Lonchura striata: one gene and its partner. The protein of the gene in region 1 purifies or fractionates together with the protein of each later gene. This does not show direct contact. Links are inferred from orthologs where the notes say so. Each region holds a gene or a part of one and is shown on either strand. Other genes may lie near its edges.

The links.
Region 2: the proteins of DLD (region 1) and DLST purify together in Homo sapiens (affinity purification with mass spectrometry; 3 studies listed by BioGRID and IntAct, counting the BioPlex papers as one, with this or other methods). This does not show direct contact. The link is inferred for Lonchura striata from reciprocal best matches to the Homo sapiens genes DLD and DLST.

The regions. Positions count from the first base shown.
Region 1 is NC_134607.1:59,081,902-59,089,593, forward strand, and holds the start of DLD (dihydrolipoyl dehydrogenase, mitochondrial), read right to left. Parts: upstream 3,067-7,692; 5' UTR 3,008-3,066; coding exon 2,969-3,007; intron 2,103-2,968; coding exon 2,027-2,102; intron 1,336-2,026; coding exon 1,256-1,335; intron 1-1,255. UniProt on the Homo sapiens protein: Lipoamide dehydrogenase is a component of the glycine cleavage system as well as an E3 component of three alpha-ketoacid dehydrogenase complexes (pyruvate-, alpha-ketoglutarate-, and branched-chain amino acid-dehydrogenase complex).
Region 2 is NC_134608.1:23,259,427-23,267,443, forward strand, and holds the start of DLST (dihydrolipoyllysine-residue succinyltransferase component of 2-oxoglutarate dehydrogenase complex, mitochondrial), read right to left. Parts: upstream 3,263-8,017; 5' UTR 3,229-3,262; coding exon 3,160-3,228; intron 1-3,159. Other genes in the region: PROX2 (prospero homeobox protein 2), read left to right, coding at 3,354-3,419, 7,120-8,017. UniProt on the Homo sapiens protein: Dihydrolipoamide succinyltransferase (E2) component of the 2-oxoglutarate dehydrogenase complex. The 2-oxoglutarate dehydrogenase complex catalyzes the overall conversion of 2-oxoglutarate to succinyl-CoA and CO(2).

The DNA of each region.
Region 1 (7,692 bases):
GGCGTAGATTTAGATCAGCTCTTAGGAAGGAATTCTTTACTGTGAGGGTGGTGAGGCACAGGAATAGGTTGCCCAAAGAAGCTCCTGAATGCTCAAGGTCTCTGAGAAATATGGTCTAGTGGAAGGTGCTCCTGAATGCTCAGGGTCTCTGAGTAACATGGTCTAGTGGAAGGTGTCCCTGTCCATGGCAGGGGAGTTGGAACAAGGCCAGCTTGAACATTCCTTCCAACCCAAACCATTCTGTGATTCTATGATGCATCAGGTGGCTGAAGGCCTTGTACAGCCAAGCCCTGAAAATACTGAAAGATGAAGACTACATGTTGCATGGGCCCCCCATTCCTGTGCTTCACTGGAACTCATCACCAGGAGTTCTTGTCCTTACCAGGTGGTCAAACCAGCTAACTTGTCATGAAGTCTATTTTAGGTAATTCAGAAACATTGTGACATACCAAGCAGCAGAAACATGCCCAAGACTGCTAGCACCACCTTCTCAGAGTTCCAGATAATTATAAGAACAAGAATGCAGTGCCAAGAGTGTCAGTTGGTCTCATATTAAAAAGTGAAGGCAAAAAAAAATCCTGAAGTCACGTTCTGTATTTTTGTAAGTTTAAAAAGATTTTAAATATATTATACACATACAACTCTCACAATACTTAATTAAATGACACACCACTAGTACATATCAGACACCAACTGCCTCTTCTGAAAGGTGCTCAAAGACAACAGGCAGAACAACAGAGATGAACACAAATAAATGTAACTAAGATACTATAGTATTTCTACACATATTTTTGCCTCTAAAGTTCTCACATGGCAGTAGAATTCCACTAATCACAGTCAAAAAGCTTATCAGTTGAATATGGCTTTTTCCCCTTCTGAGTTCCCTCAGTCTGTTCTTCAGAATAGTTTTCCACTGGTCTTTTTGTCAGTCATGATCTTCTTATTTTTCCCTTTGTTGAGAGAAAAATTCCTTCTTAGCACTGTTTTGCCACCTTCTCTTTCACAAGAATATAAGTTCACATCAATTATCAGTTCCAACCAAAAGTAAGCTCCGTCAGTAGCAGGGCTATAGAGAGTAATATAGTCAGACCTCCATTTCAAATTCTGCATAATGCAGGTAAGCAAGGTAAGGAAAGATTAGCAAAGATGTCTACACCATCTGGTGGCCCAAGATGTGACAGAAGGATTACAGTATCACACAGACACCTTTCAAGTTCACCTGGATGAGTATTCTGCTATCTGAGTCAGGTCTCACCTTAAACCCAAGCTGAGCTGCTTTGATAGCAGCAACATATCCTCCAGGCCCAGAGCCAATAACTGTGACATCAGCATCAACTGAAACAGAGAACAGCCGAGTTACTGTTTTTTCAGAAAATAACTGCATCTTAAGAATTATGCAAGTTAATGAAATAGGATTAGATAAAGAAGCTACACCTCATATGTGAAAGTAACTTTCTGGACAGGGAAAGGTTGTGTAAAGGTATTCATTCCACAAGAAAAATAAGCAGTCTTAAATTTCACAAGGAAAATAATGTAAAATGACATCAAGAAACTGAATTTCCCATCCCTCTTGCTCTAAAGCCTTTAAGAACTTAACTCAAGCTGTCTTGATAGTTCACTGTAACATTTTTTCCAACATAGCTTCTATCGATGTTTAGCACCAAACATAAATGCTTACTATATACCACAAATTTATAAAGGGGAAAACACAGCTGCAATAGGTATCTCTGGAAGCTATTGATTATAAAGCAGTGGCAGCTATGAACTTTGTACCTAGCTCATATCTTGTAACCACAATCTCTTTTAGAACATTAATTAAAATAAGAACAGTGATGGTGAAGTTCAGCTTGTATTTACAGCTTTACCTTGAAATCACATTATGCAAATAAACCAGTTTTCGTCTAAATCTCCATCCTGACATGGATTTCACCTCGAAGGCTGATTTCAAAGTTTGAAGTATTGTTTTGTTTTTTGTGGGAGTTGGTGGGGTTTTCTTGTCCAAAAAAGGTTTCTCACAAGAAATTACCTTGATCAGCATAGGACCTTTGTGGTACTGCACAAACTCCCTGAAGACCATGATGAATTCGATCAAAATGGCTTCTCTAAAAGGTAAAAAAATAAAAAGAACCCCTTGGTTTTACAAGTTTATGTCTATTCTTCAGAGAAAATAAACATTCAGCCACACAGAGGTGAACATACAGTTACTGTCACCAGCTAACCAAAACAGGAACAGCAGGACTGAAGCACAGTGGGCACTGACTGGAACAAGAGGCAGAAGTTGTTCTGCCACCTCAGTCTGTCATCACACCTGTTCTCAGGTCAGTCACACCTCAGGCTGCCTCTGACTACAAAACTTTCAACTCTTTCCAACTCTCAAACCACATAATGACGTAAATTAGATATCCACGGGAGTTTATGTAGAGTCTTGTTCTGTAAGCAACCCCTTCAGGCACTTCCTATGAAAAGGCAGCTGTATCTCATAGGAAGCTGAGGAGGGCAAAAGTAATGGCACAGCACAGAGCAGGCGCTACAAACACATCGAGGGCCGATCACCCTGTAACTGGAGTAGAGGATGTCCCTGGAAGCATTTGCGAAGTCCGCAGCACCGCAGCCCCAACGCCGGGGCCGGCTGCCGGCGGCGCTTTCTGCAGCCAGCACGGCCGCGGCCTCCCGCGGGCCGGGACACCGGGAGGAGCACCGACAGCGGGAGGCCGGTCCCTGCCGCTCCGGGACCCTGGGGGCCGCCACGCCCCCTCCGCCCGGCCGAGAGGCGAGGGGACAGCGGAGCGGGGAGGGAGCGCGGCCAAGGCCCGCGCCCGCCTCAGGCGCCGCTCCGGCCCCGCCCGCCTCACGCACGCCCCCGGCGGGCTGAGGGCTCTGAGGAAAGCCCAGGCTCGAGCTGCTCGGCGCGGCTGCCGTCCCTGACCCCCTCCCTTGCCCTCGCCTCGCCGCCCCGCCGGTGCCATACCCGAGCGAGCGCGCAGGAGACGCGGCCCCAGCGCTGCATGTCGGCCCCGCCGCCGCGCCCCGGCCGCTCAAGGACTCCGCGGACGCGCGCAGGCGCAGTGCCGCGGGGCGGGGCCGGGCGGCGCGGGCCTCAGCGCCGGGAGCGAGCGCGGGGCGCGGCCCCGCTGCCCTGGCCCTGCTGCCCGTGCCGCGGGAGCGCGCCCAGGCGGGTTTGGAACGTGTCCAAAGAGAATCCGCCACCGCCCTGGACAGCCTGTTCCGTGCCACCCTCGGCGGGAAGGAGCTCTCCTCTCTTGTGTTTCACTTTATGGCCATTGCTCCTCTTCCTGTTGCCGGCACCACTAAAAAGAATCTGGCACATCCTCTTGGCACCAATCTTTGAGATATTTCTAGAATCGGAGAATCACAGAATATGCTAAGTTGGAAGGGCCCATCAGGATCCAGCTCCTGGCCCTGCATAGGACACCCCAAGAGTCACACCCTGTGCCTGAGAGCATTTTTCAAACTCTTCTATAACTCTGTCAGGCTGATGCTATGACCACTTCCCTGGGAACCCTGTTCCAGTGCCCAGCCACCCTCTGGGTGAAGAAACATTTTCAAATATCCAGTCTAAACCTCCCCTGACTCAGCTTCATGATGTTTCCACTCATCACGAGAATGAAGAGATTGGCACCCACCTGTTATAAATTGTGACACGGCAATTTGAAGTGTCTTAATCCAATAAAGCAATTTTATTGAAAATAGCAAGCGAGTAAGGCAGGCAAAGCACAGCGCTGGGCGGCCGGGGAGTCTCCTGCTCCACCAACGGCGCGCAAAAATGTTCTGTCCCAACCTTCCTTTTATCCCCCCCCTTCTCCTTGCAGGCGTGACTCTCCAGATGTAGTCTGAGTCTGGTCGTTGTGATAGCTTCTAAGTCTCTTCTTTTGAGATACAGCAAGCAGACCAGATACACACACCTAGGACTCTAATCTCAACCTCCTTATCACCTTGTAAGCAAATAAGCATTTCAAAGACACACCAGTACATTCTTATGCAAACCAAGGTAAGCGAGCATATCACAGTGAACAAAATGATCTTCCACTTATCTCACACCTGTCTACTTCCCCTCATAAGGATGCTCAAGACCACAATAAGGTGGTCTCAGTCTCCTCCAGGCTGAAAAGATCAAGTGACATCATGAGTCTGCATAAGTCTTCTCCTCATAAGGCTTCTCCTTCAGACCCTTCACCATCCCCACAACTTCCTTGGGAAGCCTCTAATAACTCAATGTCTTTTTTATATTGTGATGCCCAAAACTATTCCCAGGATTTGAAGTGACACCAGCCCAGTGCAGAGCAGGGTGGGACAATCCCCTCCCAGCTGGTGATGCCCTCCAGGACATGGCTGGCCCTCCTGACTGCCAGGGAACTGCTAATTAATATTCAACTTTCCATTTGTATGTATTGATGACATCCCTTTCAGTCTTCTCTTGACTAAGCCAGCCCAGCTCCCTCAGCCTCTCCTCTTAGGACAAGTGTTGCAGTCCCATCACCATCTTTGTGGCTTCCACTGGACCCTCTCTAACAGCTCCTTGTTTTGCTTGTACTGAGGAGCCCAGCACTGCACCCTGCATTCCAGATGTGGCCTCGCTAGGAGGGACACCTGTTGCAGAATTTCTGAGAGAGAGAGGGCACGATTTATGTCTGGAGTGAGAACTGAGCTACCCTTCAGACTAGGCCCCTGATAAGCGGCCTTGGTGGGGCCTAGCAGTTAGAAATTATGTTAAGGTAACTACAAAGTAATGAGCTATTAGAGCGTGAATTAGGGTAGAGCTGCAGTGTGAAAAGCCTGACCGCCTTAAGGCAAAGGTAAACAATGTTAGCTTGCCAATGAGAGTGCCTTTGTAAACTGTAAACTATATGGAAGTGTATATAAACTGCCATCTTCTCACTAATAGAGGGAGAACGTAGCTTTAACCATATTGGATTGACCTGCGTTTGTCCCGTCCAGCACCCCCTCATATTATAAGAAGTCCCGGCTTTTGCCACTTCCCTGGGCCTGCTGGCTACAGTGTTCCTGATGCACCCCAGGATACCATTGAGTCATCCTGGCCACAGGGCCACACTGCCAGTTCATGATCAACTTGTCACCTACCAAAACTCACGGGTCCTTCTCAGCAGAGCTGCTCTCAAGTAGGTCACACCCCGATCTGTGTTGCTACTTGGGAGCTCACTGACCCACCTGGCACCAAAGTGAACCCTGGGGTGAGCAAAGCAGCCCTCAGTCCCAGACTGACTGCATCTGAACGACACCTGGGCACAAGCAGAGAAAGGGAAATTACATGTTTCAGACAGAAACCTCTTCCATCTAATTGACGGTGAAATGCCCATATATCTTTATACATTAAAAAAAAGTAAAATCTACAGTAATTTAGGAAGGACTTTGAATATTTGTTTTCAATTTATTTAATCATGAAAAATTGAACTAGAATATTCTTGAACATATTCTCGAGCTAGAACATTCTCTAGAAGAAAATTCTCCTGAAGAAGGGGTGACTAAGAGAAGACCTCATCAATGTATGCAAATATCTAAAGGGGAATTGGAGCCAGGCAATGGCTCACTGGTGCCAAGCAATAGGACCAGAGGCAATGGGAATAAAGTGATGCACAAAAAGTTCCACTTCAATCTGAAGAAGAACATCTTTACTGTGTAGGTAACTGAGCACTGTAACAGAATGCCCAAGGGGTTTTGGAGTCTCCCTCACTGGAGATATTCAAGAACCTTCTGGATGCAATCTTGTGCAATTTGCTATGGGATGACCTTGCTTGAGCAGGGAGGTTGGACTAGATGACCCACTGTGGTGCCTTCCAATCTGACCAGTTCTGTGATTCCATGACTGTGAAATGCAAATAAATTCAATTTTTAAAACATTCAAAAATATAAATTCGAAAATATTAAATTTAAAAAATATTTTCAAGTGTATTGGAATAATTGCTTCCAATTTATTTAATCAAGAAAAGAATTGAACTAGAATATTGACACATTTTTATAATTAACATGGTTTAATTTAATACTCTGTATATTTTTACATAACTTATATTTTCTTCTGAAAAATAGATTGTATTTTCTTCTAGAATAATACATTGAACACCCTACATTCCTCTGTTATTTGCACTTTAGCACATCAGTATTTTAAAACTTAAATCCTTCATTGTCAGTGGGAGAACAACAATGGGCCAGGATAATTTTCCTTCTATAGTGAATTCTGCCCAATTTAGGACATACATAATATTCTGTTCAATTTAAGCTAAAAACACCTAAATGTGGCTTTAGGTAAGTGATATGCAATATAGATCATACTGTTGGTTGCCCACTTTGCCTGAAATTGAAAAGGAGTTCTCACGTTAACTGGATGTACTCATTTCTTGCACACGTATTTCCATCAGAGGGCAGTGTTCTGCTACTTCCCACACAGCCAGGGAAAAAGGCCCTGTTCAGCAGACAGAACTCCTCTTCCACCTTTTTCCATAAGGATTTCTCTGATCGTCCCTTCAGCAATGCTGGAGACTGTATGTGCCCAATATTTTTATATTTAAACCCCTGTCGGTTAGAGCATGCTGTTAATAATGCCGAAGTTGTTTTTGATCCCCGTATTGGCCATTCACTCAAGGTGAACTTGATGATCCTTGTGGGTTCCTTCCAACTTAGAATATTCTGTGATTCTAATGAGAAAGCATCCCAGAGTTACCCTGGATAGTATAGTGTCCCCATCATTTCCTCCCACCCTCACTAATGAGCCAACCAAAGAGAATAAAAACCAAGAGAATAAAACTCCAGCTGTAGCTAACTGAAAGTACTCAGCCAACATGTTTCAATTTTCCATGCCCTCCCAGCCTTGGTGCATGTTGGAGCTCACCCCACTGCACAGTACATGAGTATTTCTAGGGAAATTATAGGTTTTTACAGACACAAATCTGAATGCCATGAGAATGTGTTTACTGCAAGCAGTGAACAGGATCATCTCCTGCAAGAAGAAATGACTGGTGGCTCTGAATGATGCCTCCAGCTCCTGTGGTCAGTACAGATGGTTACTGTGGCCACCAAAGGGAAGGCAGCTTGTGTGGTTATTGCTTCAGCACCCAGGCAAGAGGGTGTAGGGGGCCTGGGGAATTCAGGAAGCATTACAGTGTATCTTAGTGGATGGGGACAGTGGGAAGGCAAAAGGGCACACAGGGAATGTAGGGTTAGATCACTCCATCCCATTCATCACAGCCCTGAATAGTCACCTCTGAACAGCCTTGCCCATTAACTACATGTCCCTTGGAGGAAAAATATTATGAACCTTCCTGGGTACCTTGCTGAAGTTAAGAGATTGTTAAAATTCTTTTTTGATGTTTTACATCTCTGAGTAATAAAGATAAGTAATAAAGATTAAAAAAAAAAGAAAAATAAATTAAAAAAATATCTGAGTAATAAAGACAGTGTACTGCCTGTAGAACTGTGGTACATGTAAACCATGGACACCTGAGTACTTTTGGTTCCCTTCCTCCTGGCATGACTCTACCTCACCTTGCTTTGGTTGTGGCACTCCTTGCTTGAGCACTGAGGTTACCCTACCTGTTTACACTTCCATTTTTTTTCCATGAGTACCCATGAAATGTCCCCTCAAAGCAAAGCAGGCTCCTGGGATTCCAGCTGCATGAGGAGGGATCTTGCCAGCAAGAGGAAGCAGGTGATCCTTCCCTT
Region 2 (8,017 bases), on another chromosome or scaffold:
GCTAAGCTCCAGCACACCACCACACAGCTGCCCTGCTTGCCAGTTCAGTGCAGGGATCAACGATCCTGAACCAACAGTCCTGCAAAACCAGCTTCTGGCAGGGCCTGCTGGAGCCCCTGCCCCACGTCTGCCTGGGTAGGGGAAAGCAGGAAGCACTGTGCAGACTTTGTAGAGTCATCTGGAATGCAACAATAACTAACCCTGGTGCAGCACTGGTCCCTGCTAACTCAGATCTGGTTTGTGTAGAGCCAGCTCTAAGCCAGGATCAGTAAGACAAACTCCAACTTAAGTGGGTCAGCCCTCCACTGGGTCAGCTCTCTAGAGCACCACAATCCTCAGCACTCTGTATTGATCATATTTTTCTCACTTTCTGTAGTGTCCAAGATAGCATAGAGTCAATCACAAATTGAGTATCAAGCAACCTGAGTTCCCCTCTATCCATTAATGTTTCCCTGGGTGCTTTATTAAAAAAAGTGGTTAAAGGCATTCCTAGAACACCAGACAATAAATTGTTAAGAAAGGAACAGCCTCAGACTGATGCAAAACCAGACAATTTTATTTGCTCAGGACCAGTTTACTGTGGAGATAAAACAAAAAAGAAAATTTAGAAGGTCTGTCCTAAAATAAATTGCTGGGAGAAAATACATCTGCAGCTCTCTTCCACCAGTGGTATCTGGTAGCAAAATTAAGGAAAAAATTGGTATCACTCTATCCTTTGCCTTTAAGGTTAAGAAATTAGGGGAAGGGCTTAATGTGAGGAGGAAGCCACTAATAAAAGATACTGTGATTTTTCTGAATTACATCCTGCAGAACTGCTGTGTGCCTATCTCTTAACCACAGTACCTCTGAGATAAACATGCAGCTTCAGGAGACACAGGACAGGGCTGCTTACAGGGCTGCTTCCTGTTCCATTTTTCCCTGAAGGAATCTTTCTGACTGCACCTCTTCCTGGATCACTTGGCTAAATCTGCCCTCTGCCTTCTACTGGAGCTTTTTCAGTGAGAATGGAAATATTTAAGTTTTGCTACGTGGCTTTGGCACTTTGGGTCAGTTTAAAAAGACAGGCTTCACTTGGGGAAAGAAATCTTGGTCTAATTAGCCAGTGACTCATGTAGCAAGTGATTAATATTTCCCTCTTGTTTCACATGACTTCTCAGAATCGTTTTTATAAGTGTTACTACGTCAAAGTGACCCTGGCATGCATGGTCCCAGGCCACACCTTTATGGAGCCATCACCTTCCAGTAGGTCACTACACACTGAAACAAAGGATGGAATACATCAGCTAAAGCGACAGCCTGTATACCAACAGCGAGGGACCAGTTCAGGTAAGGAATCTGATGAACGTGACAGTGCAGCTCATGTGAACAGAGGCAAACCAGAAGGCCAGTGCTGTGCAGCTCCAACAACAGGCAAAGCAGAAATTGGTTCTCCAGCCATGGCTTCTTGAGAGCAAAGCAGCTGCTGCTCTAACAAGGATGAGCACAAACTCCTGCTCCACACAAAAACCCCACTGCATGGCTTTCATGGGCATCAAAACAATTATATACAGCATGGGAGGGCAGGTGCCAAGATGGGATGGAGATCATGCTGAGTGGTGGACGCTGTTACTAAGACAACAGGCTCAGAACTCCTCCAGCATGAGGGGAGGATCAAACAGGGAAGAAAAAGTTCTTTATGAACTCCTGCCCATAAACAGAAGGATTTGATTCTCAAAGCACTTTACGCAGCTCCTGATCAAATCTATCTTTTCCAGACCAGCTCTTCTCTGGACTTTTTCACATAGCCTTCTACGTCTGCCTGCTCCTGCCCCAACTCTTATGTGCTACAAGCTATTGATACACATTCCTGGTTTCTACTTAATATGAATTCAGAACCTTTTCTTCTTTTACAGACAGCCAAAACCCAGCCAACCCTTCCTCACCCTCACTGACTCCACTCTTCCCCCGTTCAATCCTCCACTTCTGAATTTTGTATATGTCTACCATTCTCACTTCTGCCATCAGAGGTTTGCCAAGTTCTGGGATTTTTTTCTATCTCTCCAAAAAGCCTGTTTTACATAATAAAAATTTACTTCCCATATTGCTGTTCAAATGGAAAGCAAACTTCTACTATAACTCTTTCAGTATATCTAACAGGTTAACTAGCATTCAGCCTAAAACCTCCTGATTTTCAGACTAGTTTTGTAAAAGGTTTGAATACTCCATCTGACTTCTTCCCGTTCTTTATAATTACACAACACCACTGAGAGCTGACAAAGGTTAAATATTGCTAAAATGCCACTTTAATAGGCTTGTTTAAACTGCATTATAACCAATTTTTCTCTAATATATCTGTAACAAACTGTAACTATACAGTTACTTGTAAGTTGTTCATAACACAGTTTTACATGTATACACACAAAGGTGTCGGTACATTACAACTGGTTGTCAACGCTTGCCTACATTTACAGCATGTCTAAAACCAAGTCTCATGCTGGAAGGCTCCAGCTGGTCACTGGAAGAGAAGTGATCTTTCTCATGCCGTAGGTATGCACAAACATGTGTGTGCACATGAAGCTGAAATGGAAGGTGTGAGCAGCAGGACACAGGACCCGGCTGGCCAAGGGCAGCCCCAGGGTTAAGCAGCTGCTGGGCGCTGTCAGCCCACGCTGCAGCCAGCAGAGGCTACCACCGCCTGCCCTGAAAACCGAGCACAGGATTCAAACACCAAACCGCACGCCGGTTGTTGCCGGTCCCGCGCGGCGCGCCCCGGCCGGGGGTCTCTGCCAGCGCAGGCCGGTGGCTGCCAGCAGCGAGGCCTCAGATGCCGCTGACGGGCGGGCCGGCGGAGCCCGAGCGCGGCGCCGTTCGCGAGCCCTTCCCGCCAGCCCTTCCCGCCGCCCGGCTCTGCCGCTGCCGCGCCCTTCCCGCGGGGCCGGGCCTGCCCGCGGGGCAGCGGCACCCGCGGGGAACGGGCAGCGCCGCGCCACCGCGGCCCCCGCTGGGGGACAGCCTCGCCGGCCCTTCCCGTGCCCGGCCCTGCCGCGCCCCGGGGCGGCGGTGCGGAGCGCCCGGCAGCAGGGGACGCGTCCCGGTGCCCTTGGCGCCGCCGACCTCGCCCGCACGGCCGCCGCCCTCCCTCGCCGCCCGCTCCCCGCGGCCGCTGCCCGCGGGCCGTACCTGCCGGAGGGCGCGCAGCGAGCGGCCCAGCGCGCGGCCGAGGCAGCGGGACCGCCACAGCGGCACCATCGCGGCGGCGGCGGCGGCGGCGGGAGGGGCCGCAGGGCGGACACCGGAACCAGGCCCGGCGCGCGGCGGAAGCGCGGGGGGCCGGACCAACCGCCCCAGGACGGGGGGGCGGCCGGGGCGGGACCATGGCGGGCGGGGGCCGGGCCCGGGCCGGGGGCGAGGCTCTGCGCACGATATTCCTGTGTGTTACCGTGTGTGTAATAATACAGGTGTTAATGCGTCCTGTATGATATATATTAAATACTATTACTTATAGATCACATGCATATGAAATAGCTATGCATTACATATATTGATATAACCACGTATATGGATATATCGATGTTACGATATGTAATAGTATATGTGTAATAAATAACCTGTGCATTACGAAGAATGCCGTTTTGTGACGCTGTTCTTTGAAGCAGCTCTGGGTCACTGCGGGACAGCCGTACCCGTGGTTTGCCTGCCCACCTTGGCAAACCATGGGACTGTTCTCGTGTGGGGTGGTGTTGCCACAAGCATCACCCAGTGGGATGCCACAAGGTTAGAAACGGGCAATGAGGTCATCTCACCATGGCAAACAGGAAAATGAGTCCACAAGTAAGCCCTGTTCCTCAGGTGTGCTCTCTATGTTGAAAACATTTGAGAATTCCCCAGCTAGCTTCTGTTTTCTGCCTGCTCCCAGGCAGGGAACCACAGGTGGAAGAAAACCCAAGGAACCCATTTACAGATTCTGAGAATCAGCCTGGGATAGTTATAAAGGGCTGTCTGGCACCAGGTATCTCTCAAGGAGCCAAGTCTGGGTTATGCACATGTGCTTAATTTAGCCACTGCTTAATAATTTATGAATGGTTGACTGCAAACTTCGAAATATGAGATCATTTTCAAAGGAAAGAGGTTGAATAAAAATCAACAGGGGGTAGTCTCTGAGGCTTTGAGGATGAGCTGACTGCTCTAATAAATGATAACTGAGCCAGAAAGGCTCTCTGCCAGGGATTTCTCTATGATCTGTCTTTTGAAGGCTAATATCCTTGAACAATATTGACCACCTGATGTCAACTGCCTTTAACCACGGCCTCCTGCCTACACAGTGAATACACTAAGCACTGCTGTGCTCAGTTAGCATGTGGAAGCAAAGCAGATAAAGCCCCAGGAGTGGCATGCATGGCTAGACTTTGCCCACCCAACCCCAGCTCCTGCACGAGAAGTTTCTGCCAGCCACATGTGCTGCTGGGGCAGGTAGGTTTGTCCTGGGGCTGGGTCAGGACGTGCTCAGCTGGGAGTGATGCCAGCTCTGCTGGGCTCTCTGTAAAGCACCCTGCGACAAGCGAGGGACTCTGTGTTGCTGCTTTTCCTGTGTTGTCCCATTTCTTGGCCGTGTCCTGTGCTGCAGACCTCCAGGACAGCCAAATTGCCTCTGCGCCCCCAGAGTGCGGGATGTGGGAAATGCCTGGCCACTTTCCATGGAAGATGGGTAGCTGGTGGGATCTGGGCCAGCTCCTTCCTTGTGCTTGTGGCACTGCTTGTCAGCCTGGTGTATTTGCATGTCTCACCAACATTTCACTATCCTGAATGGGGCTTCCGGCCAGATTCCAGGGGAAAATTGCTGCTCTGGGCCTCTGCCCACCTGGGTAGCCAGCAGCTCGGCGCCCGATAGCCCTTGCCTGTCTGGCTCAGGGGCTATGAGTGCGGGAGCCAGCAGGGAAGGTGGCGTCGGACATCAGCTCCTGGGTGTCCATCTGCATATTCAGAAGTCGTTCCCAGCTGGTTGGCTGCCTCCAGCCTCCCACTCCCTCTTTAAGGCCCCAGGACGGACCGGCGCTGCCCCCGCGCACCGCGGGCACGGCGGCACACCGGGGATGGGCGGCGGGGACGGCTCGGGGGATCGCCGTCTGCACGGACAGCTCGCTGCTCTCGCTGCTCCGGGCTGCTGGCCCACCCAGGAGCGCCCAGGGAGCCCATGACGGGTGGCTTCAGTTCTGGACAAGGCACGCTGCCCTCGTCTTCTCAGCATCTGCGTTTCGTTCCTGTCTTTCTCTTCAGGTAGGAGGAGTCTCGGCTGCTTTTTAGTGTTCTGGAGGGTGGCACTAAGTGAAAGCTGTGAGTAAGAGTGGGAACCAAAGCACGCACCTGCTAACTCCGTGTGGAAAGAGCTGCATCAGCAGGCGCAGTTCGCTTAGGCAGCGCCTCCTGGTCCTGCGGTGCCGGGGATGCTGTGACCGGAGCCAAGGCCACGCACAGCGGGCTGCCATGGCTTGGGACAGCACGCCCGGCTCCCTCCCTCCCAGTCTCCAGAAAAAAGGCAGTGGTGCTGGAAACCTTAAGCAAGTAGAAGTCACCTTGCCAGCTCTGACTCGATCTGCTTGAAAGGGGTGTATCACCCAGGTTCCAGGGGGCTGGGAAGCCCCAGCCCAGGGGACAGGTAAGCTCCTGACTTTGCTGTTGAGCACAGCACATCACAACACACAGAGAGAAATTGTGAGCAAATGTCAAAAGAAGGTGTTTCTATAGAAAAACAAGTGAGATTACAGGACCACACCATTGAGGAAAGGATTAAGGTTGGATGGAATCTATAACTGTAATGTGTTTGCTGTGTGACTTTGTTGGGTGCAGATGGCAGGCTCAGAGGCAGCTGCAGGCAATGGTGAAATTTATAACACAAGGGCAAGGCAGGATGTTGAGAGCTGCTGGCATCCCAGCCTTGTGCTGCCTGTGGATAAACTGAGCAGTTTGAAATACTCTACAGCAGACTCTTAGGAAAATGAAACCCCAGTGGTCAGGACAGATGGGGAGACAACACAGATCAACATGTGGTGTCAGATAACCCAGAAAATACTTGGTTTGTCAAGACTATGGCTCTGCAAAAGGTAGAGCTCTCCCAGGCACCTGCCTGGAATTCATGGTTGTTTGAAGAAAGGCAACCTGCTGAAAACCCCTGAGAAGAAACCCATTTTCTACACTGCCTGGAGGACTTGGCACAGAGCAGTTACAGGGACAGGAGACTGATGGTGCTGAAAATGATGAGGCATTTCTGGGAATAGCAAAAGAATATCAGACTTTAAAGGTGTCTGGAAAAGACAAGAGCTGTCCTAATAAGTGGTGCAAAGCTACTGCTAATTAAGGTGGATAAGGAAGAAACATCCCACAGGGACAGTTACTGTGCAATTGACCAGGATACAATATTTTACACCTTCTTTTGCAAAGCTGTGCAAGTGGGGAATGAGCAGAGGGGGTGAATCTGTACTTGGAGCCAGTATGACAATTTTAAGCCTGGGGCTGCTGGCTCAGTATTTTTTCTCTTCCCTGATAATCCCCATCCTCATTTCTTTTATTCAGTGTTTAGCCAAGCACTTAGGAAGCCCATGTTGTATTAGCCTGAACATCTCGATGCATCCTGCTCACAGCAGGTCACATTGCACTTTTACCCTCTCTGTGCCCTCCTTCTCCAGCCTGTTTGTGCTGGCCCAGCCCCTAAGTGCTGCCACCCATCCCCGTGCTTGGGGGCTCTGCTGGCAAGTGTTGGGACCGTCAGAAGCCAGCAGGACCCATGGCCTAGCTGGCTGTGTGCTGTGAATGTCTTCACCAAGGATGCAGCCGCTCCTCTGTGCTCTGCCAACACCCAGGAGCAGCACCCAAACCCACCCCTTTGCCCAGGTGTACGTGGCAGAGGGCTCTGCCTGGTGCTCCCTGCCCTCATGCCAGAGCCCACAGGCCCAGAGGGCAGTTTCCCCAAATGCCTCTGGTGCAGATGCAGCTGGTGATGGGGGAAGTTTGTACTGCCAGGCACTGCCAGGCTCAAAGTAGGTGAAATGTACTCCAGACATGATGAATGCCTGGCTGGTAGGTGGGAGGTGTGGTGGTGCCCAGGGTGTTGCTGCTGTTGTGTGACATCTGACAGTCTGCCCACAGGTTTTGCAGTACCTGAAGGTTTCTTCCTGGTCATTCCCTGGTGAAATAGTTTTTGGAGGGGAGCATGGATGCCATGGAAATCTGGGAGAAAAAAAATCTCTGGCCCCGTGTTTGGGAAACTGCTGTATGAGGTCCTGTTTCTCGCTCTTTTTGCAGTTCCATATCACTAGCAGGCAGAAACATCAAACACCTGGGAAATCTGCCAGTCTGTCCAGGCAGGAAGAAAATATGATGGACAGCAGGACTGGCTTTGCGCAGGATAGAGACTGTGCCACTTCAGGGCATGGCCAGGAGCTGAAATTGGAGCCCTGTTTCCAGACTGATTCTCTCTTGCCTTCCCCCAGTGCATCCCTGATACCACAGCTCAGCCATACAATGGTTGGCAGGAACCTGGATCCCACCATTCTTTTCACTTCCTCTCAGGCAGCAGCCCTGCCTCATGGCTACAAATGTGGTGCATGTCCTGGAGAAGAAGCTCAACCCCTGGCTTTCCCCAGGAGCTGTGCCCCAGCTCCCATGCCCTGTGCTGGTGATGGGGACCAGCTCTCCAACCAGCACCCACGGGAGCAGCTCTGTGACCGGCACTTACGAGCCAAGCGGGCCAGGGTGGAGAGCATCATCCAGGGCATGAGCCTCCCACCAACCCCGCAGGCATTTGACACGAGCCGGGAGGCAGCCTTTAGGCATGAGAGGGAAAGGGGTGGTGAGATGCCCCAGGAGAGCAAGAGGAAGCCAAGGATGCCCCAGCAGGGCATGGGGGCAGCTGGACAAGTGGCTCCCACAGGGGGCAGTTCCCATGCGACAGGCTGCCAGCAGCTGAAAGAGCAGCTCTGCTTTTTAGAGCAGCAGTTGAGGTGGCTTCAGGAGAAGTTCTACCAAGTCTGTGACTCTGAGAATG